Linked DNA regions of Drosophila melanogaster. The gene in region 4 interacts genetically with the main gene of each other region. Each region holds a gene or a part of one and is shown on either strand. Other genes may lie near its edges.

What was found.
Region 1: of tefu (region 4) and stg, changing one suppresses a phenotype caused by changing the other (phenotypic suppression), as found in Drosophila melanogaster (one study listed by BioGRID).
Region 2: of tefu (region 4) and mei-W68, changing one suppresses a phenotype caused by changing the other (phenotypic suppression), as found in Drosophila melanogaster (one study listed by BioGRID).
Region 3: of tefu (region 4) and wrd, changing one enhances a phenotype caused by changing the other (phenotypic enhancement), as found in Drosophila melanogaster (one study listed by BioGRID).

Annotation. Positions count from the first base shown.
Region 1 is NT_033777.3:29,251,482-29,257,578, reverse strand, and holds stg (string), read left to right. Parts: upstream 1-1,778; 5' UTR 1,779-2,650; coding exon 2,651-2,706; intron 2,707-3,617; coding exon 3,618-5,001; 3' UTR 5,002-5,436; downstream 5,437-6,097. Other genes in the region: CG45544 (uncharacterized protein), read right to left, coding at 682-915. UniProt on the Drosophila melanogaster protein: This protein functions as a dosage-dependent inducer in mitotic control. It is a tyrosine protein phosphatase required for progression of the cell cycle. It may directly dephosphorylate Cdk1 and activate the Cdk1 activity.
Region 2 is NT_033778.4:19,454,491-19,460,133, reverse strand, and holds mei-W68 (meiotic W68), read right to left. Parts: upstream 3,965-5,643; 5' UTR 3,159-3,964; intron 2,163-3,158; 5' UTR 2,083-2,162; coding exon 1,716-2,082; intron 1,658-1,715; coding exon 1,029-1,657; 3' UTR 611-1,028; downstream 1-610. Other genes in the region: CG7744 (uncharacterized protein), read right to left, coding at 4,964-5,643. UniProt on the Drosophila melanogaster protein: Required for meiotic recombination. Together with mei-P22, mediates DNA cleavage that forms the double-strand breaks (DSB) that initiate meiotic recombination.
Region 3 is NT_033777.3:18,170,854-18,178,948, reverse strand, and holds wrd (well-rounded), read right to left. Parts: upstream 6,106-8,095; 5' UTR 6,000-6,105; intron 5,824-5,999; 5' UTR 5,665-5,823; coding exon 4,759-5,664; intron 4,410-4,758; coding exon 3,905-4,409; intron 3,617-3,904; coding exon 3,420-3,616; intron 3,347-3,419; coding exon 3,012-3,346; intron 2,946-3,011; coding exon 2,715-2,945; intron 2,643-2,714; coding exon 2,250-2,642; intron 2,145-2,249; coding exon 1,901-2,144; coding exon of another isoform or gene 1,856-1,900; exon of another isoform or gene 1,708-1,855; intron 1,047-1,707; coding exon 903-1,046; 3' UTR 574-902; downstream 1-573.
Region 4 is NT_033777.3:15,239,202-15,243,941, reverse strand, and holds the start of tefu (telomere fusion), read left to right. Parts: upstream 1-1,705; 5' UTR 1,706-1,721; intron 1,722-1,779; 5' UTR 1,780-1,798; coding exon 1,799-1,999; intron 2,000-2,057; coding exon 2,058-2,166; intron 2,167-2,217; coding exon 2,218-2,403; intron 2,404-2,461; coding exon 2,462-2,682; intron 2,683-2,738; coding exon 2,739-3,083; intron 3,084-3,144; coding exon 3,145-4,248; intron 4,249-4,302; coding exon 4,303-4,480; intron 4,481-4,537; coding exon 4,538-4,707; intron 4,708-4,740. UniProt on the Drosophila melanogaster protein: Serine/threonine-protein kinase which recognizes the substrate consensus sequence [ST]-Q. Required to suppress spontaneous apoptosis of proliferating cells during development, and for their proper differentiation. Required for female fertility.

The DNA.
Region 1 (6,097 bases), about 14 Mb from region 4:
CACAAACACACGCGCGCGAAAACTGGGACCGCCCAGCCTTTAACCCATGCCTGCCCACCGCACCACCCTTAACCCTTTTGGCAGTGATTTGCGAAAAGCGCGCGCGCACAAAAGTATCTCAAACGCTTTTTTCGCACACTTTGCAGGCATTTTAATGCACAGACGACCGAGAAAAAAATAAAATAAGAGCCGATGCTCAAAGCTCACTTCTTGGAATTTCGATTTACAATTTAGCTCTTCACTTTTTGCTGGTCCTGTGATTTTTTTTGTTCGTTATGCTGTTTTTGAGGTCCCCCGCTATTGTTGTGCCCCATTCCCATTTCCATTCACATTGTTGCTGCAATTTCTTTCTCCGCAGCCTATTCTCATTCTTTATCAAATTTACCCACTCACACACGCACACACACGTGTGTGAGTGTGCTTTTGCATACGCTTTTGATTCCGCTTCCTCCGCTTTGCCCTTTTTCTGGAGCCCGGCGATATCACGGTGGTATTATCTGAAATCCATAATTGCGAGGCTATAATTGGAATGAATAAAAGCATAAAAACTGGATAAGAATTTGGTAAGTAAAAATGAAAATAGCAGAACAACTCGAGCTAGAAACTACTTTTAAATAGTAGTAGTAAGTTCACAGATTTACCTCTAGTATATGTATTTTGCCACACTGTGCGCTCGGATCGCTATGAATGAGATTGGTTCTGAGCTTTTTCCTTCCCTATGCGCTTTTTTAACTTGTTCAAAACCACTTTATGATTTCTGCGTCCTTCTCGTCGTTTTGTGCTGGTTGTTTTCCATAAAGATGATCCTCTCGGCTCTTCCTGCAGCAACAACAAAAGCTGGCCAAAGGAATTCAGCGGAATGAAACCGTAGCTCATTTGGTTGGTGGCTTCGGCTGTGGTTGGTCCCGAAATCATTTACTTTCGCCTGCTCTTCAAGCGGTGTGAATGATATGGCCTGGTTGCACTGGCCTGTCCTTCATTTGTTTGCCGCGAACCTTACAAAAACACACTCGAACTGCACAGCACAGCCCATGGGTGTTCGCAAACCCCCAACCCTCCTTAGTGAACCCCTCGGATCCTCCAGAATGACTCCCGCAGGGCATCGGCGCATATGTAACTCGATTTTTGCTTTAACTTTGCCGCGATTGCACACAAACGAGGGGCTACAGTGGAGCTTCGGCGTGGGCAACTAGTCTGAGCTTCACATTATCGATTATTGGTCATATCGCATGGTTGACATCATGATTTTCCACGTGTTTGCTACTGTTAGTAGTAGTTTATCTAGCTTAAGATCTGTGTTTGTACGGATTCTCATTAAAGACACACGGTCCATCGTGTAGAGTGCTACCTGTGAATGGATCTCTGTGGCTGGAAGCTTTGCTCATTTAACGACATTGGCGTCTACGTCTGCAGAACACAAAGGAGCCACGCCCCCTCCACGACCGCCCATCCCGCCGGTGCGGCGATCATATGACTGCGGCCACTACCTGCTGATATGTAGTTTTCAGGGAGGGGTTACAAGGGGGGACAGGGGGCAGCAGGAATGCGTGGATCTCACATTATTACCTGCAAACGACACAATCGATGCCGCCTTGAAATTCTGCTTAAAGATTCGCGCAGTTCTTCAGCGTTTCCTCTTCGCTTCTTGGGGCTCCACACTATTTTCACATGTGTTCGGTTCGGAGCCTCCTCGGCTCCACTTCGGCTCCAATTGTGGCGACTTCGGATCCCCTTCGGCGGTACGCGTCGCGGTATAAAAGCTCGCGCGCCAAAATCAGTGGCCTCCATAGAGCTGGCGACCACCAAGGCGCCAGATTCTCCTCGTTTCTCGGGACATTGGTATTCGGTGCGGGATTTTGCGATAGGGGAAGTGCAGGGGAAAGGATTCTACCTGTTGCCGGCACTCTTGTGCTCCACATGAGCAGAGATTTCCAAAACTGAGTCCATATGATCCTGATTCTCCCATTTTCCCAGTTTTCCTTTTCGCATCGCACATGGCTCTGGCCCCGTCCCCGTTATGTGTGTTGGTGTCGCTCGTTGCCCGTCTCCCTTCCTCTTCTATTGGCACTTCTGGGAAGGATAGGAAGGAAAGGATAGGATGGGAAGGCAAAGGAAAGGAGCTGAGAACTAAGAGCTAAAGAGCGAAGCAGAGAGAACAAAAAACGCGCGCCATCTCGCTCGCGCCCATTAGCTCATCAGCTGATCGTGATCGGCCGGGGTGCGGTTATAAAAACCAGCTGCTCGGCATATTCAGCACATTCGTTCTCAGTTCGTCGTCGAGTCAACAGCTCTTCTTGTTCAGCCTTTCGGTTCCTCGTTCGGTGAATTGAGATTGTGCGGTTCAAATTATTGAAGAAAAAGAAAAACCTCGCACAACCACACTCCGAAATACAAAACAAAAAATCATGCTCAAACGGACACATTAACAAAAAAAAAAAACAAAAAAACCTAAATTAACTAAAATGCAATACTAGCCAAAAACCAAGGACTACCATCTCAAATTCTAAAAACAAACTGTAAATGAGTGCAGAGTGACCAAGAACAAATTGTGTTTTAGCAATTTCTTCGGCTTCAGACTCGCCAGCGAAATCAAACATCTTCGGCTCTTCGAAGCAACCAACGCAACACATAACACAACAAAACCAACAAAATGCTGTGGGAAACTATTGTGGAGGAAAACAACTGCAGCATGGATTGCAATATCAGGTAATTATGCCGCCCAAGGATTAGCAACAGCAAACCCCTTTTGCACCAGGAATACCAGTTGAAAATACGCGATAAAAAGTGCAAGTTCAAGAGCAACAGCAACAACAGCAAAGCAAAAAAAAAATACAAAAAACAGAAATGTAAACGATGGGGCCAACAAAAGTAAGAGTTCTTTTTATCACGCTCGGCACGTTTGCTTTTTGCCCGATTTTTATTTTGGCGCTCAGCTGTTGTTTTGTTGCTCGCTTGCCGTTTTTCATTCATTAAACCGGCTTCCGCGAGGCTCCAAAAAAAAGCAGCAGCAAAAAATGCTTTTTGTCCGTCGTCCGTCAGTCAGTCATTTTTTTTTTTTCGATTTTTGTTCCTTTTTTCCTCCGTGTTCTTTGCGGTTCTTTGTGGCGTGTTTTTGTTGTATTATCGCTGCGCTTGCGTGACGTGTGACCCAAAAGCAAAAGTCAAGCTGAAAAGCAGATGCATGCGAAAAGCAAAAGGGAATTCCATTTGGAGAACCGCTAATGCTTAAGTAGAATCAAGAAGAAGAAGATAAGGCGGTACGCAACGGTTCCCTCGCAATTTTAGGGAATTGTAAAAATTATCAAAAAAAAAAAAAATGGTATCAATGATATCGTGTGCGCAAGTCGAATCCCAAAAATTCCAGTTTTCGAAGCTGCATTAAAGTAAATTTCTAGTTCAGCTCCCTCTTCACCCAATTACAACAACCCCTCTCTGTATTTTCTCGGGTATTTTTGTTGTTTTTACACCACCAACGCCACCACCACCACCAGTTTGTCAGTATTTTTAGCTGGGTTTAATGACCCGCTCTTGCGAGAGTTTAGGGAAGCAAAAGCAGCTCTCTTCCTCGATGCCGAACAGTTGACTAATCCTCCCCCTCTCTTTGTTTGCTCTTGCAGTAATAACACCAGCAGTTCGAGTAGCATCAACAAAATGAGTGGATCTCGTCGTGCTCGCCGTTCCCTGGAACTGATGAGCATGGACCAGGAGGAGCTGTCGTTCTACGACGACGACGTTGTGCCCCAGGATCAGCAGCGATCGGCCAGTCCGGAGCTGATGGGTCTGCTCTCGCCGGAGGGCTCGCCCCAGCGCTTCCAGATCGTCCGCCAGCCGAAAATTCTGCCAGCTATGGGAGTATCAAGTGATCACACGCCGGCGCGCAGCTTCCGCATCTTCAACAGCCTGTCCTCCACATGCTCCATGGAGTCCTCCATGGACGATGAGTACATGGAGCTCTTCGAGATGGAGTCGCAGAGCCAACAGACCGCCCTGGGCTTCCCCAGTGGCCTAAACTCGCTGATCAGCGGCCAGATCAAGGAGCAGCCTGCTGCCAAATCGCCAGCGGGTCTGTCCATGCGCCGCCCTTCGGTCAGAAGGTGCCTCAGCATGACGGAGAGCAACACCAACAGCACCACCACCCCACCACCAAAGACCCCAGAGACTGCCCGGGATTGCTTCAAGCGCCCGGAACCGCCAGCATCGGCCAACTGCTCGCCCATCCAGAGCAAACGCCATCGCTGCGCCGCCGTTGAGAAGGAGAACTGCCCCGCACCCAGCCCACTCAGCCAGGTCACGATTAGCCACCCCCCTCCACTGAGGAAGTGCATGTCCCTGAACGACGCCGAGATCATGTCCGCCCTGGCCCGCTCCGAGAACCGCAACGAGCCCGAGCTAATCGGCGACTTCAGCAAAGCCTATGCCCTGCCCCTGATGGAGGGTCGTCATCGGGATCTGAAGAGCATCTCCAGCGAAACAGTGGCTCGCCTGCTTAAGGGCGAGTTCAGCGATAAGGTGGCCAGCTACCGCATCATCGACTGCCGCTACCCCTACGAATTCGAGGGCGGCCACATCGAGGGAGCCAAGAACCTGTACACCACCGAGCAGATCCTCGATGAGTTCCTCACCGTCCAACAGACTGAGCTGCAGCAGCAGCAGAACGCCGAATCGGGACACAAGCGCAACATCATTATCTTCCACTGCGAATTCTCCTCGGAGCGTGGACCGAAAATGTCCCGCTTCCTGCGTAATCTGGATCGCGAGAGGAATACCAACGCCTATCCGGCGTTGCACTATCCCGAGATCTATCTGCTGCACAACGGCTACAAGGAGTTCTTCGAGTCGCACGTTGAGCTGTGCGAACCACATGCCTACCGCACCATGCTGGATCCCGCCTACAACGAGGCCTATCGCCACTTTCGCGCCAAGTCCAAGTCCTGGAACGGCGATGGCCTGGGCGGTGCCACCGGGCGGCTAAAGAAGTCGCGCTCGCGACTGATGCTGTAGGTTGTGGGATGATCGTGCAGTTCGTTATCTAAGTTTGGGTGTTATCGTATTGTATATATAGACGTATAGGGGTATTTATTTCATGCTGCTTTTAAGTTGATTTTTGTTGATTTTCATTTGTTAATCCGTAGACTAAGTTTCTCGCACACGACGCAGACACACACCCGACACTCGCATTCATGCAAAACAGACAATTTCATTTGGAATTTAACGCTTTTGTTTAGTTATTATTGTTTTTATGGTTTCGGCTTTAGTTCAATTATTTAAGCACTCTAGTTCAAATTTTAAAGATAACCAACGAACAAGCAAACGAAAAATGTGCATTATAATCTAAAAACGTGAGGAACCATGTCATTTAAATTTAAGAGGCCGATCCCGAAATCAGACCCCTTAATCATTTGTAGATGATAAGCAGAACAAAAAATGGCTAAAAACAAAAAAAAAAAAAGAAAACAAATATCACACAAAAACAAACACGCTCATTAATTTCATCCATAAAACTTTATTTATAAGATCTATCGTTTAAGAGTTGAAAGTTGTAAACTTCTGCTAGGTACAATTTACGCTTATTATTTGTTTATTTTTATGTAATCCGTAACCGAACAACAAGGCACCGAAACGCAAATGCAAACAAGAAAACAAATATTTTACCATGTAATGATTATTATTTAAGCAAAGCTTATTTTTGCATCAAAAAAGGCAATATTATTGAACAAAGACCATCAATTTTAAATATACATTAATACACGACGAAAAAGAACTGAAATTCCTGGAATTTTTATCATTCAAATGGCGCCAAATGCGCATTATGTGCGGGATTTCGGTACTCTATGGGTTTTCACAGAATTAACAACTTGAAATTGGCGCGCAAAGCGAGTAGTTGCACTTTGTAAATGTCAGAGGGCGCTGTGTCCGTAAAAAATTGAGTATAACAGCGGCGACTTTTTGGCAGACTGTTATACGAAAATTTGTATGTCACTTTATATTTCTTTAAATTAGAGATGGACACGTGATGCTTTTTTTTTTAAACCCACGCATACGATATACAAATACTCTTTTAAATTTGTTAACTTGTTCTATAAATTGAAGGCAAAGC
Region 2 (5,643 bases), on a different chromosome or scaffold from region 4:
CGAATGCGAGGATGTGCTGATCGAGTTGGTGGCGTAGGTGGCGGTTGTGCTGGAGACGGCGGCCAGTGGTGGCACCGCGTTTGTTGCGCTCGATACTGGCGCCGCCGGTGCTGCTACATTGGATGCTGTGCCATTGGACACGCTATCCGCTGGCAGGGCCTCAGGAACTGACTGCAGTGTGGTGCGCATTGCTGTCGACATATTTTTAAACAGTCCAATAGGGATTCTTAGAGATTCTGCACGTGAGATTCGAGTATTTTCGGGAGTCTTTCAGGTTTCGGTGCTTAAAAGTAGTCAAATGCCCAATGGGTTTCTATCATCCGTGGTACTCCTTCACATCTGCAAGAAATAAATGCACGCAATTAGTATGGATCTAAACAAAGCAGACTACTTGTATCTTTCGGCACCTATAATATGACTGGCCATTCACTTGCCATTATCAAAAACGTAGCCAATTACCGGCTCCGATTACCGACCTCAAGCCATAACACTTTAGAGGCACAATAAAAAAAATAATCTCCTTTGTCTGCTTGAGTTTACTGGCTTCGTCCACACAAAGTAATGCAGAAAATCAAGTTGACCACTCAATACGAAACACTAGAAGCAGATTACTCAGACATTACGAGTGTAAATTACTATTATCCGTTATCCAAATATTAAAATTATGTTTTCTAAAGGCAAGGATCTTAAGGTACTTTAATATTAATTAGTCGTAATATTATATTGACGTTATTAAAGCTGCATTGAAATTAAACATTACATTTTATAACATAAGCAACAAAATCGGAATCCCAATGAATGGGGAATTTAATTATTAAATTACTATCTTAATTAATTCAAATATTAATGGAAAGCTGATTACGCGAACTAACTTTTACAGTACTATTTTTAGGAGTCTTATGGTATCTTTATAGAGATACGTTTTTTACAAACTAATTACTATATTACTATACCTACAACATATTTTAAACTAACTAATAATATTTCAAGAGTAATAATATTTGGCTTATGGGGTTTACCACTGAACTCTACAAAAACAAGTTCCGATTGATTTTATTTGGTATATAGTCGTCGGTCAGGAAGTCGATGACACTCTCGATTTCGGCCTTCAGCTGAACGTCCTGCAGCATGCGCAGTTCCTGCCGCACTCCCGGCTCCAAATCGTGGCGGGCGAGGAGGTCATTGATTTTCTTGTTGTCGCCGGCAACCAGGGCAACCGCTCCAGTGCCGAGTGCGGGAATCTCCGAGGGGTGTAGACCAATCCAACGCAGCGCAGGTGTGGTTAGTCCTTGGCTGGAAAAACTCATGGACTTCGAGCCATGGCGATAGACTAGCATTATCTCGACGCCAAATGGATCGGCGTCAACGAGAATGTAGGCCGCCAGTTGGTTCTCCTCGGTGAGCCGATGGACAATCCTCCGGGTACAGCAATCGGGGTATCCTTTTCCAGTTATAAGGATGAAGCGTCGTTCAAAAGTACCAAATACATTTCTGGATAAGAGACTCTCAAAAACCGACTCCTTTTCAACGATTAGCACAAATTCCGCCAGCGTTTCGATTCGATCTATCTTCTCGGGATCCGTGGGCAATGTCAGAGGTCCACCATACAAGCTGCTGTCCAGAACGTCTCCGTTGGTCATCAGCAGCCTTAAGTCGCCTGCAAGAGTAACCGGATGAGCAGGGAGCCTTTGATCAGGATTTCGAGATAAACTCACCTGCCACCAGGCCCTTGGAGGCGGCCAGTATGCCCAAGCTTAGGGGGGATGTCCTCAGCATACGACAGACATCTAGCCTGGCTTCGGCAATCCTGGACTGCGACCGGACTAGCAGAGGATTGTCATAGTATAGTCCACGGACGGTGAAACTTCCTCCGCGGACTTGCAATCGGTGCACCCGGGAGAGCATGTAAATCAGCACGCAAAAGCTATGGCGACTTCCGCGATTATTATAGCTGACTCGTCGATATTCCGAGATCACGTTTCCGGATGAATTTCGGGGAACACTAAGAGTGGCATTGCCATGAACCAAGTTGCTCAGCAACTCGAGGGCAATTCTTTCTATATTCTCCGAAAATTCATCCATTGTTCTAGCAATTTACTTATATTAGGAACGGATTCTTAACAACAAATATGTACGTCTTCTTGATTTCGTACTCTTGCAATCTACAAAATGAGGTTTTTTAATATCCAAATTAAGAGAAATTAATAATAAATATAATTTTACTTGTGAATAACAGATTTAAACTTAATTAAGCGGCATATATTTTAACAAGAACTTGGTTACTAACGCTTAAATTTTAAACAATTACATTTTTGAATTCCTCCAACTTTATGTATCCTTGCTCCCAATTTCCATTAGTTCTAAATTCGCATGAATTCTTCTGTTTATGTTCAATGATTTGAAACATTCTCTAGAATACAAAGTGTAAGCACTTTTTTGGTCTAATTTAATTGCATGGGTGGTGCCACGCCCCCGGGATTTTCTTGTTGGTTCTTTGAATGCCTTTGTCACAAGCGGAAACCCCGCAGGAAAATGAGTGAAAACTGTGGGCTAAAACGTTGAAACACGCCCACCGACCTACGCACAGTAATATTTCATAAATACGTAAGCAATTCGTGGACTTACATACTATACGAAAATCAAGTGGTCTTTGCACTTACTTATATCTGATTTTGTAAAAGTTTATCGCGTAAATCGTTGCGTGGAAACATTTCGAGGGGGGTTATAAATAATTTCCGAAAGGAGCTTGCTGGCTAAAAATATACCATCGAAATGAAAATTCCCTTTCGGTGAAAACAACTGTTTTTTAAAAATTTAAGCACGCACACTAGTTGCAAATGAAGAGAGCGCGAGGGAGAGTGCCATAAGTTTATGTGAATTTCTTTATTCGGTCTTTCATTTTTTCTTCTTATTTTATTATTCTTTTTTCCTTCTTTTTCGTATGTGCAGAAAAGTGTACTCGTTATTACAAAGCACACATACACCGAGTGTGGGCGGGCGGGGGGTTTTCGCTCTCTTTTGGGGAAGAGAAAGAGAGAGACTGACGGAAAAGAGAGAGCGCCAACGAATGGGCTAGGAAAACTGACGAACGGAACGAAACGGAATGGCAGCCCAAGTATTGATTTGCTGGTTATGGTGCTGCCACTTCTTGTACTTACCAATGAAATACAATTTCCGATTGGCCCAAGAAAAGCTAAAGCTGAAAAGCTATTAGCTCTCTCGCTCAGAGAGGAGTCGCTAGCTGATGGTCGCTGCTGTTGTTGTTGTTGTTGCCATCGATGTAACGCATATTATTATTTAATTTCTTTCGATTTTCCCAGTTCCTTTTCCGATTCCGTTTACCCGAAAGTGGTTAGGTTTGGAAAGGCTCTGCTTTTTACCGACTTTTACCGAACGAAAACGACGACACACACAACGAAATGCAAATGCAATACATAGCTTTCTCACTCGCTCACTAGCTACCTCTCGACCGCTCTCACTCGCACAGCAGCAGTAGCAGCAGCTCTTTGGTTTTCAATCAGATTTTTCTTTCTTATATTTTCTTATCGCGATGGTTTTTTCTTTCGCTTTTTTTTTAAGAAGAACGGTCACCGATTTTTCACAAGGATTACGAACGCACCCCCACTGCTCTCCCCAGTCACTGAAAAGCCACAATAATAACAACAACAACGACAGTCTTGTTGGCAACAAATGGAAATATTCGCTATATGCTCTGCGCTGCTCTGCCCTTCGCAAAACTAATGTGTATCCGCGATGGGTAATGGGTAACTTGATATTGATACGATTACTAATATTATTGATAGCCGATTAGCCGACATAAGCGGTGGCCGCAATTGGCAAACGACGATTGTCCCGCTCCCGCAACGCAGTTAAATATTACTATTTTCCTCCGTCCACATCCACTTTGGCAGCAACAAAAGTATGTACGTCTCGGTCTCTCAAAAAAATTCACATTACGATACGGCAGCCATATTGTAGCAGTGTTGCCAGCTGGACGGTATTCAAAAATACTAAACTTTTTCTCCTGTTACTACTTATATACTAAATATACAGCAAGCTGTCATCTAAAAACCGCGCCCACAGACTGATTGATTAATGTGTAATTTGAAATAACCAGCTAAATTTTACATTCGAGAATGGTTAGAGGCTACACAACCTTATATACATAATTGTTTATTAAGATAATTTAAATTCATAATATATTTGTTCAATATTAACAACAACATAAACAACATACTTTCAGGGGCAAATGTATGAATTTTTGAAGTGCCGTGCCGACTTTGGAAACGGCCACTTTGATTTCTACACCGCGCCGTTAACCAACTGGCAGCACTGCACTAAGAGAGCGTGTTCTGAAATCTAAGAGAACAATATAACATTTTTTAAAAGAGAAAAACAACCAAAAAGACAGGTCACTGTTATTATTGAATTTAACTTGATAATGAATATTTTCTTATAACTGCACTTAACTTAACAAAATAATAACCATTTTTTTGTTTTGCTTTTATTTCAAAAAATATGTATTTGTATAATAAACAATTTATCTAGTTTATGTGAGTCACAAAAGTTTAGTTAACGATAAAAACAAACTTTGAATGATTGTCTTCAATGAATAAATAACTTAGTTACCAAAGCTTTATTCTCCCTTTAAAATCAAGTAGTATTTATATTACCTTCTAATCTTACTCCCTGACTTTCAATTCCCTGAAAAGTTCTATATTGAAAACCACGAAACTTAGAGCTACACAGATTAAAGAATGTCTAGCTAAACACTACTTATTTAGTCGATTATAAGTAAAGGGAGGACTAACCTTTAGTAGAATAAAGAAGCTTAAAAACTGTAAGTCAAAAATAAATTATTTGATAATTAAGTTAAGTCAAATTTATATAATTTCCCAACTGGCGGTGATCTTTTCCAGAATTTTTTCTAAGTTTTTCTAGATATTTATGACCTCACATCACATTAGTGTATTGGCTGTGAGGATTTTGAGTTAATCTCAATCCACTTCCTAAGTAAATCCCCCGGCTGCATAGTTGGCTGTTGCTGCGGAAGAGCAGTCCTCGAGTATTGATATTCACTAGGCGTTATTGTGGGTGTAGGTGACGGCATTGGCGGAAAAACTGCGAAATTTCGCTGACTCTCACGGGCTTCGGACCAGCCGTAGTCCCTTACAGTTGCAGCACCTGTTCCGCATTGGGCTTCTGGACGTGGCTGCGACTCAAATCCAGAAGATTGTGACGAAGTGCGGGAAAGTTGATTCTGCTGTTTCTCTTCGTAATGTCTCATTAGATTGGCAGTGCATAGATCTTGGTTCACACTTTGATTGGCCGCCACCCAGGCGCTTACATCAGCTCCGCCGACGTTCCTGTTTATGGACGGCAAACGCGATGGCATCAAAAGATTTTGCGTGGATCTAGTGAAAGTATTGCCTTGGGCCAGGTTACTTTGTCCATGGCGATACCATTGGGACTCTAATGGTCTCATGGGTTTCTGTTGAAACATCATCGCCGGCTGGACACGCGGGGCAACCACTGTAGAGGCATCTCCATAGTTCGAGGACCAAGCCTGCTGTTCCATCCGTTGCTTCGACAGATGCAACGAGTCCAGGGACAGCAAAGAAGCAGGCGCCTGAATTGTTCGCT
Region 3 (8,095 bases), 2.9 Mb from region 4:
AGGTAGTACATACAAAAATACACTCACGCACATACATACCACAATTTATGTGTCCTGCTGGGCGATTTGTTTCATATAAATATATTATGGGTATGCTGCTCTAACTGCTAGGCTAAATAGCGTACAATATTTGCAAATTTGAGTCGTGGAGTAGTAAACATGTTTTATATAGTATGTGTGTATAATAGTGGCATGTGGCATGAATGTCTGGATGTCATATAGCTATCTATGTATGCATGTGGCAGAAATCGGGGGATATATATGTACTCAATCAAGGTGGTAAACGCCTACGCCTTAAGTTAGACAATTCAAATTCAACTGTACAATTATATTCACGCGTTTACTGAAATGGTAAGAGCATAGTTGTGATACCAGATTATTGCACAATTAGATCTAATTGATAGGGCTATAGCTAAAGCAACGCTAGCAGCAACATGCATTGGGTAAAAGATATAAGAAATAAGAATATATATAAGAAGGTCATTCAGGGCTAAGCTTCACTGTGGCATGCGTTGGAGCAAAAGGGTAATCTTGAAATGCATATGCAAACGAAATTGGAGCTAGACAATCGATCTCGTTGGGGATTCTTGATCTTTATTGGTACTATGCATGATCACTAAAGATAGGTATTTTGTATGTGTATATATATATAGCAATTGGCTTGCATCCGTTGCCACGCCCCCACTCTAAGCCCCCAAATGCAAATGCATCGTTCAAAATTGTTTGTTCTCTAGTTGTGCGGATTCTATCCTTCATCTCTGGACTTGGACTTGTGCTTCTATATATGTATGCTTTCTGGCCTTAGTCTGGAGTGTGTAGGTCTATTTGGGTAAGTTCTGTGGTTTGACTATCCTCCTCATTGGAGCTACGAATATTGGTGGCGTCGGCTGGCCAGCTCTCTCCTAGTAGTTTCCATCCGGCGGCGGCGTTGTGAGGTACTCATCCGTCCGCTTGTGCTCGTTTAGCGCCTTCACGGTTCCACTGTCCGATGGCAGGTCCGATTTCCGGCGCAGCAGCGGCTTGTCCTTGTTCCGTTCGCCACGAATCTGTGTGGAACGGGAAGGGGGGTTTGGCAATAGAAAATGGACCCGCTTCTGACACTAAGGCATCGCAGCACACACACACACACACACTGGGCGGGTGAAGTTACACGGTGGTGCGGGATGATTGCGTTACGATATCGAGTGCTGTGGTGCTGGATGGAAACTCGATGACCACCAGTTGGACAACACACGACTACGATATATATATACATCTACACCCGAATGTCGAATTGTGTTACAAAGGTCTGAGATCGAGGAGTGTTGTATGGTTTCTGGTTCTGAGTTGTTAACAACATGATACATTTGACACTAGTTTTTAATAGTTATGTGCACAGATTTTACTCTAACTGGGATTCATGCTTAAAAATGGTGATTCACTTGAGGAAAATTATGTTAAGTGTTCAAATTAATAAATGAGAATCATATTGATGTTACAAAAGGAACGCGTTCTCTCATTAAAATGACCACAAATGAGTTAAAAGATGGACCAAAGTGTAATTAACATCTAAGTAAGATAAACTACATATTAATTCCGCCCAATTCGTATGCGGTTAACCAAAAGTGCAGGAGAAAAGTTGTTGTGTCGTGGATGAATTTGCATGGATGCGTTTGGTTTGGCAGACAGTGAGGTTACCAAATAATTAATAAATAAATAGACAAAGTTAAAGATATACAAATATGTATTTTTTTTTTTTTAAATGACATGAGTGTGATTATTTTAACAGACATTCGTTCGATTAGAATTAGAGTTGAAACAGAGTGGGCCTTAGCTGGGCACAGCTCACAGCGACGCCAGGATCACACGTGGCGGATTAGTAGTTGTTTAGTGTTGTTAATGTGGCAAGTGCCTGTCTCACCTCTCGGGGCTCCTGGTGCGCCTGTTTCTGTGGCGGCAGCGGAGGCGGCGGCTGGCGCGCCCTCTGCTCGCTCTGATCATACGCTGAATCGCTGTTCTCACTATATTGATCGCACAGGGCCCGGCTGTCGCTGACCGGCAGGCAGTCGTTAAACCGGCGCGCCTTTGTCCACTCCGGGTTGGTCTTGGCCAAGCTCTCCACCTGTTGCCAGAGCTCCTCCCTTTGCGACAGCTTCTCACGCTCCCTGCAATGCAAAAAAAAAAAAAAAACGCCAATGTTTAGTACAAAGTAATAAAACGTGAGTGCATCGTCCCATGGAAGTTAATTATCAACTAAAGTTAACACATACATCTGCTTCTCTTGCTTGTAGTTCTTGCTGCACTCGTCAAAAAGCCGCTGATCTATCTCCATGAACAGCTTGAGTGCATTGTAGATCAGACCATGGATGGTCTTGTTCCAGTGCGTCTTTGAGTTGCGATTGAGCGCTGGGAACATAATGGGTAATATCACCGCCGAGTTATCCGTTATCAGCGACATAATGTACTCGTTGTTCCAATAGTACAACGCACGTTCGGCCACCTGGAAATGAGGCGAAGAGACGCACTTGGCTATTTGGCGGAACAGCGGCACCATCACCTTCTGGAACTCGGCCGGCTCAATTACGTCCAACAGCTCCTCCAGCTCGTTCAAAAACATAACCTCCTTGGGACTGTGCGTCTTGGGCCAAAATTTAAGTAGGCTTCTGCAAGAATATTGAAATATGGCAGCGATAGGCTAATTAGAAAATGCGCAAAATAAGGAATTCTTTACTCACTTGATGACCGCCTCCGATAAGCTAGGATCCTTCTCCAGGAACTGCACCACACAATAGGTGAGCTGCGGATGGTAGACCGAGAGGCTCTTGGCTTTGTGCAATGGCAGCAATACCTTAAGTAAAAATTGTTTATGCTCCTCCTTAAGCGGCAGAGCAAAGCCATTGATAATGCTACCCAGGATTTCCAACAATTCGGCTATGCCATTATGATGCTCCGTTTCATAAATAAATCTAAATGTGGAATGCGATTAGTAATGTGAGGCATTAACCTTATAGATATTCCAATGACGAGCTCACCTGTAAAAGACATTGTTGATCTGCTTTCTAATAAATGCTCTCAAGCCCAAAAATTTTCCATAGATGCGATGTAAAACAGTCTTCAGGAAATCACGTTCACGTGGATCCTCCGAATCGAATAAATCCAATAGTTGTAATACAAATTGATGGTCGATAAAACGTTTTGCCATGCTTGGTTGAAAATCTGGTGACTCCAAGAAGCGCAAGAACAGCTCGTAAACGAGTTGCAGATGCGGCCACGAGGACTCCAACGTGGGCTCATCCTCCTCCGGATCGAATTCGGCACCATTCGGGTTGGACGATGGCGGCAGAGTTCGGAAAAGGTTGACAGCAAACTGATGAGAACAGATAAGTATGTTGTGGTAAAAGCATGTGATATTATTTTAAATATGTAAATTAGTAGCTTACCATATTGATCGCCTCCGGGTAAATAACTTCGGTTATTACGCCATTTTGGTTGGTGAGGAAATCGACCATTTCGTGCAGAGCCGCCCGCTTCACCTCCTTGAACTTGAGGTCGCTGAGCGGCTCGGAGAAGTCGAACAGTGTGCAGCATTGCTGGATCTTCTGTATGAACAGCTCCTCACGTTCACTGGCGGCGGTCTCTATGGAAATACAAATGAAATCATCATTAATTTTTTTAAATATATAATATAAGTGATAGATATATCAAACAAAATGTAAGCCATATAAAATTGACCTTAATATAAAATTAAAAAAAAAAAACCTACAACTACAAAAACGACCAACCAAAAGCAGGCAAGCGAAACTCAAAACGAACATAATGAAGATCGGAAGAAAGGATCAAGTAGCCGGAGGACCTCAGGCCCAAGGGCAATGGCTGGAATGGCTCCATCCATCGCCATTGGCCCGGATCCATTCGGGATAGCAACCTCGCAGTGCAGGCAGCGCCATGGCAACCGAAGCGGTGGGTGGCGTGTAGAATAGATTCCGGTCGCGAGCCCTTCCCGGACTGCCCGTCAGCTGTTGGAGCGTCTGGGGCGAGGGCTGAAGACCCGCCGGATGACCCGGCAGTATGTCACCGTTCTGCCGGATGCTTAGGCTCGATGTGGTCACCACCATGGTGGCGTTAGGTGTCACCATTACTGCTGATGACGCAGGTGCTGCGCCGCCATTGCGCTGGCCAATTCCCAATGAGATGCTAATGCCGCCCACCAGATTCTGGGCCACCGTCGGACGCATCTCCTCTGCGGGCACATCGCTGGTGGTGGGAACAGCGGCGACGGCGGTGGCGGCGGACGACGGCACAGCCGCCGCAGAGGATGGGGATGATGAGGAGGAGGTGGCCGCCGCTGCTGCCGCCGCCGCAGCACTAGTACCCACACTCTTGGTGGCATTCAGTATGTTCTTTATGGCCGCGGCCGCGCTCACAGGTGACTGGATGATGAGGAAGCGATGAAATGAGAGCAGAGTATGGTTTTGGTTTATCAAATTTCGGTTTGTTCAATTGGGATGGAGTTAGTGTTGGTGGATAGTGTGTGAGATGCTACTAAATGTATTAGCTTCTAGCGTACAATGTAAATAAAACTTTGATTAACAAGGTACTTGAATTGTTATTTTTTTCTTTGAAACTTAGTTATCGTTATCCAAAAAGCTAACACAATTAGTGAAAGTTTGGAAGAAAGTGTAAAATTTGTGGTTTGTACTTGGAGGTGGTGATGTGGTTATGTTTTGGGTTTTCAGATCGCTGGGTGTGTGTGTATGTGGACAAGACCAAGCTGCAAACCTTGCTGGCGGCGATGGAGCTGCTGGCTGCGTTGTTGGTGGCGGTGGATGAGGAGGAAGCTGACGAGGAGGACGCCGCCGAGGCAGAGGATGCCGCAGCGGCTGCCGCCGATGCTGCGGCGGATGTGGCCGCCGAGAAATGTTGTGCCAAAGTGGACACAAGTGAATTGCTGCCGCTAGCAGCGCCCGTTGACGTTGTTCCAGATCCAGATCCAGATCCTGCTCCTGCCGCGTTCTTCGACATGCCGGCATTCGAGGATAGCGAGAGCGAAGAAGTGGAGGACTGCGATCCAAATGGCGAGGAGGCAATCAGTGCAGCTGCAGCCGAATTCGCTCCACCACCGTATGTGGCGGCCGAGGATGAGGCCGAGGAGTTAGCAGCCGCCGAGGCTAGCGAGGATGAGGCCGCCTGTGAAAGCGAGGACAGGGCCGAGGCCGACGAATTGGAGCTGGTGGACGAGGACGATGGTGAGGAGGATGTGGTGGGTGCTCCGGATCCGGCTGCTCCTCCTGCTGCTGCCTCTGGCGGTGAGAGGGGCGTTTTCCGCCCCTCGAACTTGGCCTTTAGCTCCTCCACGCTGCTAAACCTGAATCGGCTGCCGGTCTGTTGCTGCTCCTGCTGCTGATCCTGCACCTGATCGTCCAACTCGTCGTCGGCCAGCTGATCTAGGCCGCTGTGAAACGATGGAGATTTGGGTATGCGTATGCCGAGGGCATAATACCCGGCTGCAATGGGCTGCGTTTCCTGCTCCTTGCTGGAGGATTTAATGGGCGCCGGTTTCTTTTGCTCTTGCTGCTGCTGTTGCGATTGCTGCTGCTGCTGCTGCGGCTCCTGCTGATGTTGCTGTTGCTGCTGTTTGGGACCTTTGAGCCCGTTGCCCGTCAGCAACATAGCACCGAAGACCATCTCATTAGTGCCGGCACTTGGAGCAAATGGCACTCGGTTTTAATCTTGATACGGAACGCTTGTTTTTTTTACCAGCCGCCCCCGCCGACCAACAACAACACATGAGAAAGACTACACTAGAAACTCAATTTGGGCACGCTAAGTATGAAACTATAGAATCTGTAATGGAATTGCAATATAGATAATGGTTTAGATTAACGCCAAATGCGATTATGCGCTGATGGTAACACAAAACGAAATGAAATGCAATTGGAAATGAAAATGGAAATGACAACGCCTCTGCTAAAATTCTTCTTTTGCCTCACAAATGGCCATAATTACGTGGAAAAACTTACGGTTCGAATGGGAACAAATGAGGGAATAGGATAGGAGAGCAATTAACTTGGGAAACGAATATTTTCAACTAATATTAAAGTTTTCGGGGCACACGACGTTCACGGTCTTGAAACGGTTTTTTTTTTGTTGCTTCGACTGCTGCGCCAATCGGAAAAATCGATATCGAGAGAGAATGAAATGGAGAGAAATTTGGTGAGCAGCAGACAGAGAGAAAATAAAGAGAGAGAAAGTGGGCTGGTGGGCGAGCGAGCCACAATAACAATAAAACCTAATAAAATAAAATAGTATTGAACAAGCGAAATTTGTTTATTCGATTTGTGAGTCGAAACCGCCCAAGCAATTAGCAGAAAGGTATGTGAATAACGCAATGCGATGACATTCATGCTGCACAGAAAAAAAAAGTGTAGCAATTTCATAATCATTACGCGCAGATATGTACATATATGATTTTCAAAAATATTGAATTTGCTTTTTTTTAAATTAATTCCCTGCAGGATACAGTTTTTCTAATTATTTGTATACACAAGTTTAAATCAATCGAATACATTTGTGTCATAAAGAAATGCCGGTGTATATATGAAATTTAAGACGGTCTGAGAAATCCTCTAACGATGCTTTCTCCCAGTGTAATGAGAGGCTGCGGAGAGAGCGCATGTGTTGAAATTCCGGTGAGTGAGAGAGGTGGAGAGAGGTGTGAATTGATGCGGCTGCTTGGTTCACATGTGTGAGTGGCCGTGCGTCAGTGTTGCCACCCACCTAATCAGACGACACTCCCTTGACCTTTAACTTTAACAAATAATAAACAAATTACAACAGCTGAGCGAAATTAATCAAGCGCCGGCCAATCAATATTCCCAACAAGCTTGCAGGTCGTAGGTACACTTTACAGAGAATGCCTCTTGTAAGTTAAAGCTGAACTTATAATCATGGAAATTTACCGGAGTTAATTGACATAATATATGTAATTATGCATCGTTAATGGGAATTACTACGATTTATACAATCTGTTTTGAGTGTATAGTTGCATAAAAACTTAATTGACGATGTTGGTAGACAGTAAGAAAGGTAATTTTATATCGCCTAAACGGAACCCTGCCCTAAAATGTATGCTACGACATGGCTACGACCAAGTTCTACCCCATGCAACCGATCTGCAGGCTTAAGAGATATCGATCTGAACAGCTGGCAGTACATGTATTATAAAGTAATATACTAAGTAGTAGGATCTACTCCAAGGCTACTCACTCTCGTTTAGCGGAATGAGGGCCGTCAGTTCGCAGTTCTTGGAGGCATTGTACCGGGCGCTGGTCTGGCGCTTCTCCTTGCGAACGATCGGGGTGCCGGTGATGTTCAGGACCTTGCTGATCGGCGTGGGCGGCGGTGCATCGTACGGTGGTGTGTTGTCCTTGAGTTTGTTAGCCTGCAAAGGGGCATAAATGACACTTATCTGATTATCTTTTCCCATGTCAACGGTTTGGCTTATGCTTAGTAAATGAAAATAATTTTAACAACGAATGCAAAGCAATATGCGGTCAAATAAAAAGCATACTCAAAACGTAGCACTTGCAAAATCAGAGCAAAGCAGTTCAGTTCGGGATGGTCCCTCGCTGCCATTTTGGCCGGCCATCGCTTTTACCTTGGACTGTGCGAATCCTTGACGCCTAAGTTGAGCTGCCTGTGGGTGTGTTTTAGTCTGAGTTTAGTAATGCCGAACATTGAAATGTGCTCTGGGATCAGGAAGCTGGAGTTCCGTAGGCTCTCCATACACGTATAGGATTATATTGCTGGCATCTACCAGGGAATCAGGTGGTGGCATATATGTATATATTTTCCAGGCACTAACATTTATGTATTTTTTAAAGCATTTCATTGGGCAATTTTTTGGCAGTTTCAAAAAGCAAAGTGCTCGCCTTATACTTTATGTTTTATTGCAAATGTTCAATATTTTTGTCGTTGGAGAGACAAAAATGTAAAAAATTTTCATTAAAAGTTCTTCTAGTTAATAACAGGCATGTGAGTATAAAGATTTGTATAATCAACTCCGTCTTTTGTTGACACAAAACTTTCGGGAAATCGTATAAAATCTAGGATTTAG
Region 4 (4,740 bases):
AAAATCGGCGAATCACGAACGGTGACTAATGCCAACCGATTCATGAAAATGGCAAGATCAATGCTGGATCGATGAGAATTATAAATGGCGACCGAGCAGCTGCCACCTTTTTCTGCAAAGTGCGCAAAAAAGAGAAGAAACCGCATGGACAAAGGCGAAAATTCTGGAATGCTAAAAACGCAAACACACGCGCCCTCACAAGCACACACACACATGCATATACTTAAATATATGTAAACCACGCTGCTGAAGCCAGGTCATTTTGGAGGGTGATTCGTATGTGCGAGCGAGGGAGACAACCACTGTGTCCGGGACGGCTTTGCGTGTGTTGGTTTTACCCGCTCACAAACACACGTGCCCGCACTTTGAATGCCGGTTGGCAACGTGTTTTTTTTTAGCTAAGTATATTTAATAAAAGGCCGCATAATGTATAAATTTATGAATGTTAGTTCTATTTATAAACAATGTTTATATGCCTTGACTGTATGTAAGGGAATCCAACATGTTTCTATAGCAGTATAGCATTAAAATTAAATGATCAGACATGCACGCATTTTTGTGTGGTTGTGTGGGGGGGGGGGAAGCCTCACATTTTTCCCAAGCTGGAATATTCCAGCAAAAGAGCAATGGCACTCAAAATAAATTACCAATTACGATGAGTAACTTGGACATTGATTTATTGGAAACAGAAACAATAAAAATCACAAGCAATGTCAAGACCCCGCAACGGATGACGCAAGTTTTCTCTCACACATACTCACTCAACCGAAAGTAGACTGTGACTGCAGTGAGTGGGAAGCGGCACGTTTTCCAGTGGAATATTCCAGATAATCACAATCAAGCATTAGGCATCAATATGCAATTAGTCAGAACTTCCAAAGTTTCTAGAATCTTAATTTGCCTAATTAATAGGCGCTCTATGATGCACCTTTGCAATTATGTATGTAAGTGTGCATCGAAGCGTTACTCACTGGGGTCGAAAGTTCGAGAAACCTTGCCTTCTTTGAGAGTATTGATTAAATAGTAAAGGGGCTACAAAAAACACGTGGTTTGATTTCAAATTATTTTCCGGCAAACTTAATCGAGGTGGTCGCACTTTTTTTAACAACGAAATAAATACTAAAATGTAAATAAACGCTTACCTTGTGTGTTGTTTCTTAGAAAGTACTAAAATATAACCGTTTAATTGCTACTTCACTTTTAATCTGCCGCACCTTCGATCAAACTGGCTGGCGTTTTTTTCTGAATTACACCCGTACAAAATTTGCGAATGCCTTTTATATACAAGCAAAAGTGTTACCAAAGCCATCAACAATTTTAGTACTAAATTCCCAGGGGTGTAACCGCAAAATTCTTGGCCACCCTAATAAGCGCTTCACACAGAAGTCCAGAAATGTTGACGCAGAACGTTCACACCGAAACTGTAAAGTCGTAGAAATTGGCTAATATGTAGTAGAAGCGCTGAACGTAGCTTGTTACTTTAAAAACCACATTTCCTATTCCTTTCTTAATGAATATAATTCATAATATAGGAATAATTAATGAAGGAACAGTGGAATATGGAACATGGGATTTTTTTATTTATAAATCTTTCGTTATATAAGGTTATTCTAGTTCTCCATCGGCACTTATTTGACGCACACGGCTGCCCAGCCATTTAACAACAGTGCTGTTCTTATTGATCGTGGTATTTTTTGGCGCTCTGGCAGAGGTCACTCTAAGTACATTTTGAGAGATCATTTTATGTTTAGTTTAATAATTAATACAACATTACAACAGGTTATGCCGGGCAGCCAGGATGAGTGCACTTCTAAACGAAATCCAGCGGATACTCGGGGACCTTCAGTCGGGGAAGGCAGCCAGCCGAAACAAGGGCATCCAACAGCTGGATGAAAAGCTCTCAAGTTGCCGAGAGGATCTGGATAAGTTGTTTCTTAGCAAAACTTCGGATATATCCTGGACCACAATCTTTGAAGCGTCGAAGGAGGCTCTCTTTAAGGTTCCTAGCCATTATCGTTAAACAATCAGTTCCATTTTAATTGTTAACCTAATGATAGCAAGCTGGAAATCTGGAGGATGTCAACGAGAAAGTATTCAAAACGCTGGCGGGAAAAAACTACTTGTACGATAATGTCCTCGAGAAGATCACACAATTCAACTTGGAAGGTAACTCCTAAACACTTAAACACGTTATTAAAGCTAACCTGTGATTTCCAGCGGGGTCGCAGACCTCCGGAAATGGGCATTTCCTGGCCAAAACAAGCATATTTAGTGCATTCGAGGATGGCATCAAGATGCGAGTGGTAGTCAAGTATTTTGGCGACCGCATTCTGAGCCTGCTGGAAAAGGGCATTTACTCATCGGTCAGCTATGTGCGCGACCTTAAAATTAACGAATACAGTAGTAAGTTACTTTCTGGCCCAAAAGAGACTCTTTTTTTTAATTTGATGATGTATTACAGGGATTCTCTCCTATCTTTTTGAACTGAATGTCGATATGGACGAGGTCTTGCGAACCAGAATACTGAAATGCATCACAAGAACCGTCAGTTTGGCCAAGGACCGGGTTCAGCTGCACGTGGATCTAGTGGAATATCTGCCGGAGCTCAGCAGCTTTGCGCTCTCCGCTTTTGGAGCCAGAAAAACTGAGATTGTTCGCGTCTACTTAATATTTGCATCAGAGGTAGGACTCTTATTATATCTTTAGATAATGTTAAAAACTTTGCAACAATCTTTCAGCTTGCTGTCAACTACAATCACCAATTGAACGTGCACATGCAGGAGATTCTACCTAAACTATGCGAGTATCATGACGAGGATGCGTTCCGGGACGACACCAGAAATCTGTTCTTTCAGTGCGTTTCAAAGTCGCTCCATTCAATGTATCTCAAAATGGATATGTGTGACTTTAATACACTCGGTGTGCCTGTTCATGAAAAGTGGCCGCAAACTTTACTGCGGCTGAAAACTATTGTCAATGTGGAGATCCGAAAGAATTCCTGGGCTCGCTGCAAGAACGCACTACTGAGCAATAATAAATTTTCTGACCCCTTCATCAAGATGTCTGCCCTGGCTATGTATATAGTACGTCGCATAAGCTAGTAATATTTAATATATTTAATTTTAATTATATTATTATTTGCAGGTGCTTTGGCACTTGGAGACGAAAAAGGCTGATGAAAATGGGGAAGGCGATGCGCCGAAAAAGATCCCGAAGCCTGCAGATAAAATGGAAACTATATTTAGTCTGATCGACAAAAAGGAAAACACCTTTAACGACGTCTGGCTTGCGATATTCACTGAGATACTTCAGCTGAGTAGCGTGATCCTAAATGTGGCCAACTACCAAATGGCGCTAACCACCGTGGCGGAAATAATGCAAATGTACGGCAATGCGAAAAATCTCCGGAACCTTCGGTTATGCCTGGCTCATCTTTTGACTAAAGAACAGGAGCTTTTGCACTCTAAATCTATTCGGGAGGATTTTCTGGGTGAGCTTTGGAGTCAAATGGCAAACCAGCTCATATCAGAGACAACAACAAACAGTGAGGAGATCAAGGAGAAGCAATTGGTGCTGCAGATGCTGATCAGACACAATAAACTAAATCAAAAGTTGTCCAGCACGCTGCTTAACAATATTATCTCGAATGAAATGCTAAAGCGCAACGAATGCTTAGCGACGATTCGAGAGATCTTCATCCATGCTGATAAATGTGGTCAAGATAAGGCGTCCGCTGACTTAGAACCCATCATAGCTTGGGCATACGGAAGTGCGGATAGATTCATCGCCGCTCAGATGATACACAATATAGACAGTATTGATGCCCAGTTGCAGGCGGATACTTTTGCAATCAGCATTATAAATTTTTTGGATGTCCAGCAATTGCGACAGATCTCTCAATCAGAACACATTGTTCCTTCCACCGAACGCAATCTTTTGGCCTACAAGTACAACGAACAGCTTATTTGCTTTGACAAGGACTACGCCACTCCTTTTGAGTCAATCACTCACATTCAGAGCGAAACAAAGAATTGTTTGATTCAATCCAATTATGATTGCCTAATGCGAGGCCTTAACTTTGAGATCGCGAAGGAGAACAAACCGGCGGCAATAATAAAAAACCTGAATAGTCTATTAAAGTTGATCTGCACAATGGAAAGGCTTTTGCATTACAAGGTTTTCGATGCAGATACCTATACTGGCTGTCCACTTATAAAAAGAATTGGACTATATCTCAGCCACATTGAGGTGGGTGCCAAATGAATAATCTTTCAAAAACTCGTTTTCTAATACCCATTTCAGTTCCAGCTCAAGGCGAACGGAGCTGAGATTTTAGATAAGAGCGATTTACCAGAGATTTTACGTCTGGAAATCTATGTACTTGATGTATTCAGGACGAATTTAGTCTTACTCGATTATTTGGAAAGGCAACCCATTGAAATGTTGGTGGAATTTGTTGGCGCTGCTCTCAAGTTGCATTGTAATGTAGTTTTCAATTAACGTATCGCTTTAATAATTGAAGAGTGGAATATTTTAGCCATGCAGAGGGAGCGATCTGTAGATGCAGATCATGGAACAATAACGCGTCTGTGCCTTAATATTTTGGCTGGTCTTTGTGCGTACAATTCGCACCGGGATGAAGCATTCGAGCACATAGTAAAGGTAACGATGCGTTGGCATCCACAGGATGTGCTTATTGTGACCAAGGTAGGAGTTATATCGTAACCAAAACAGAAATAA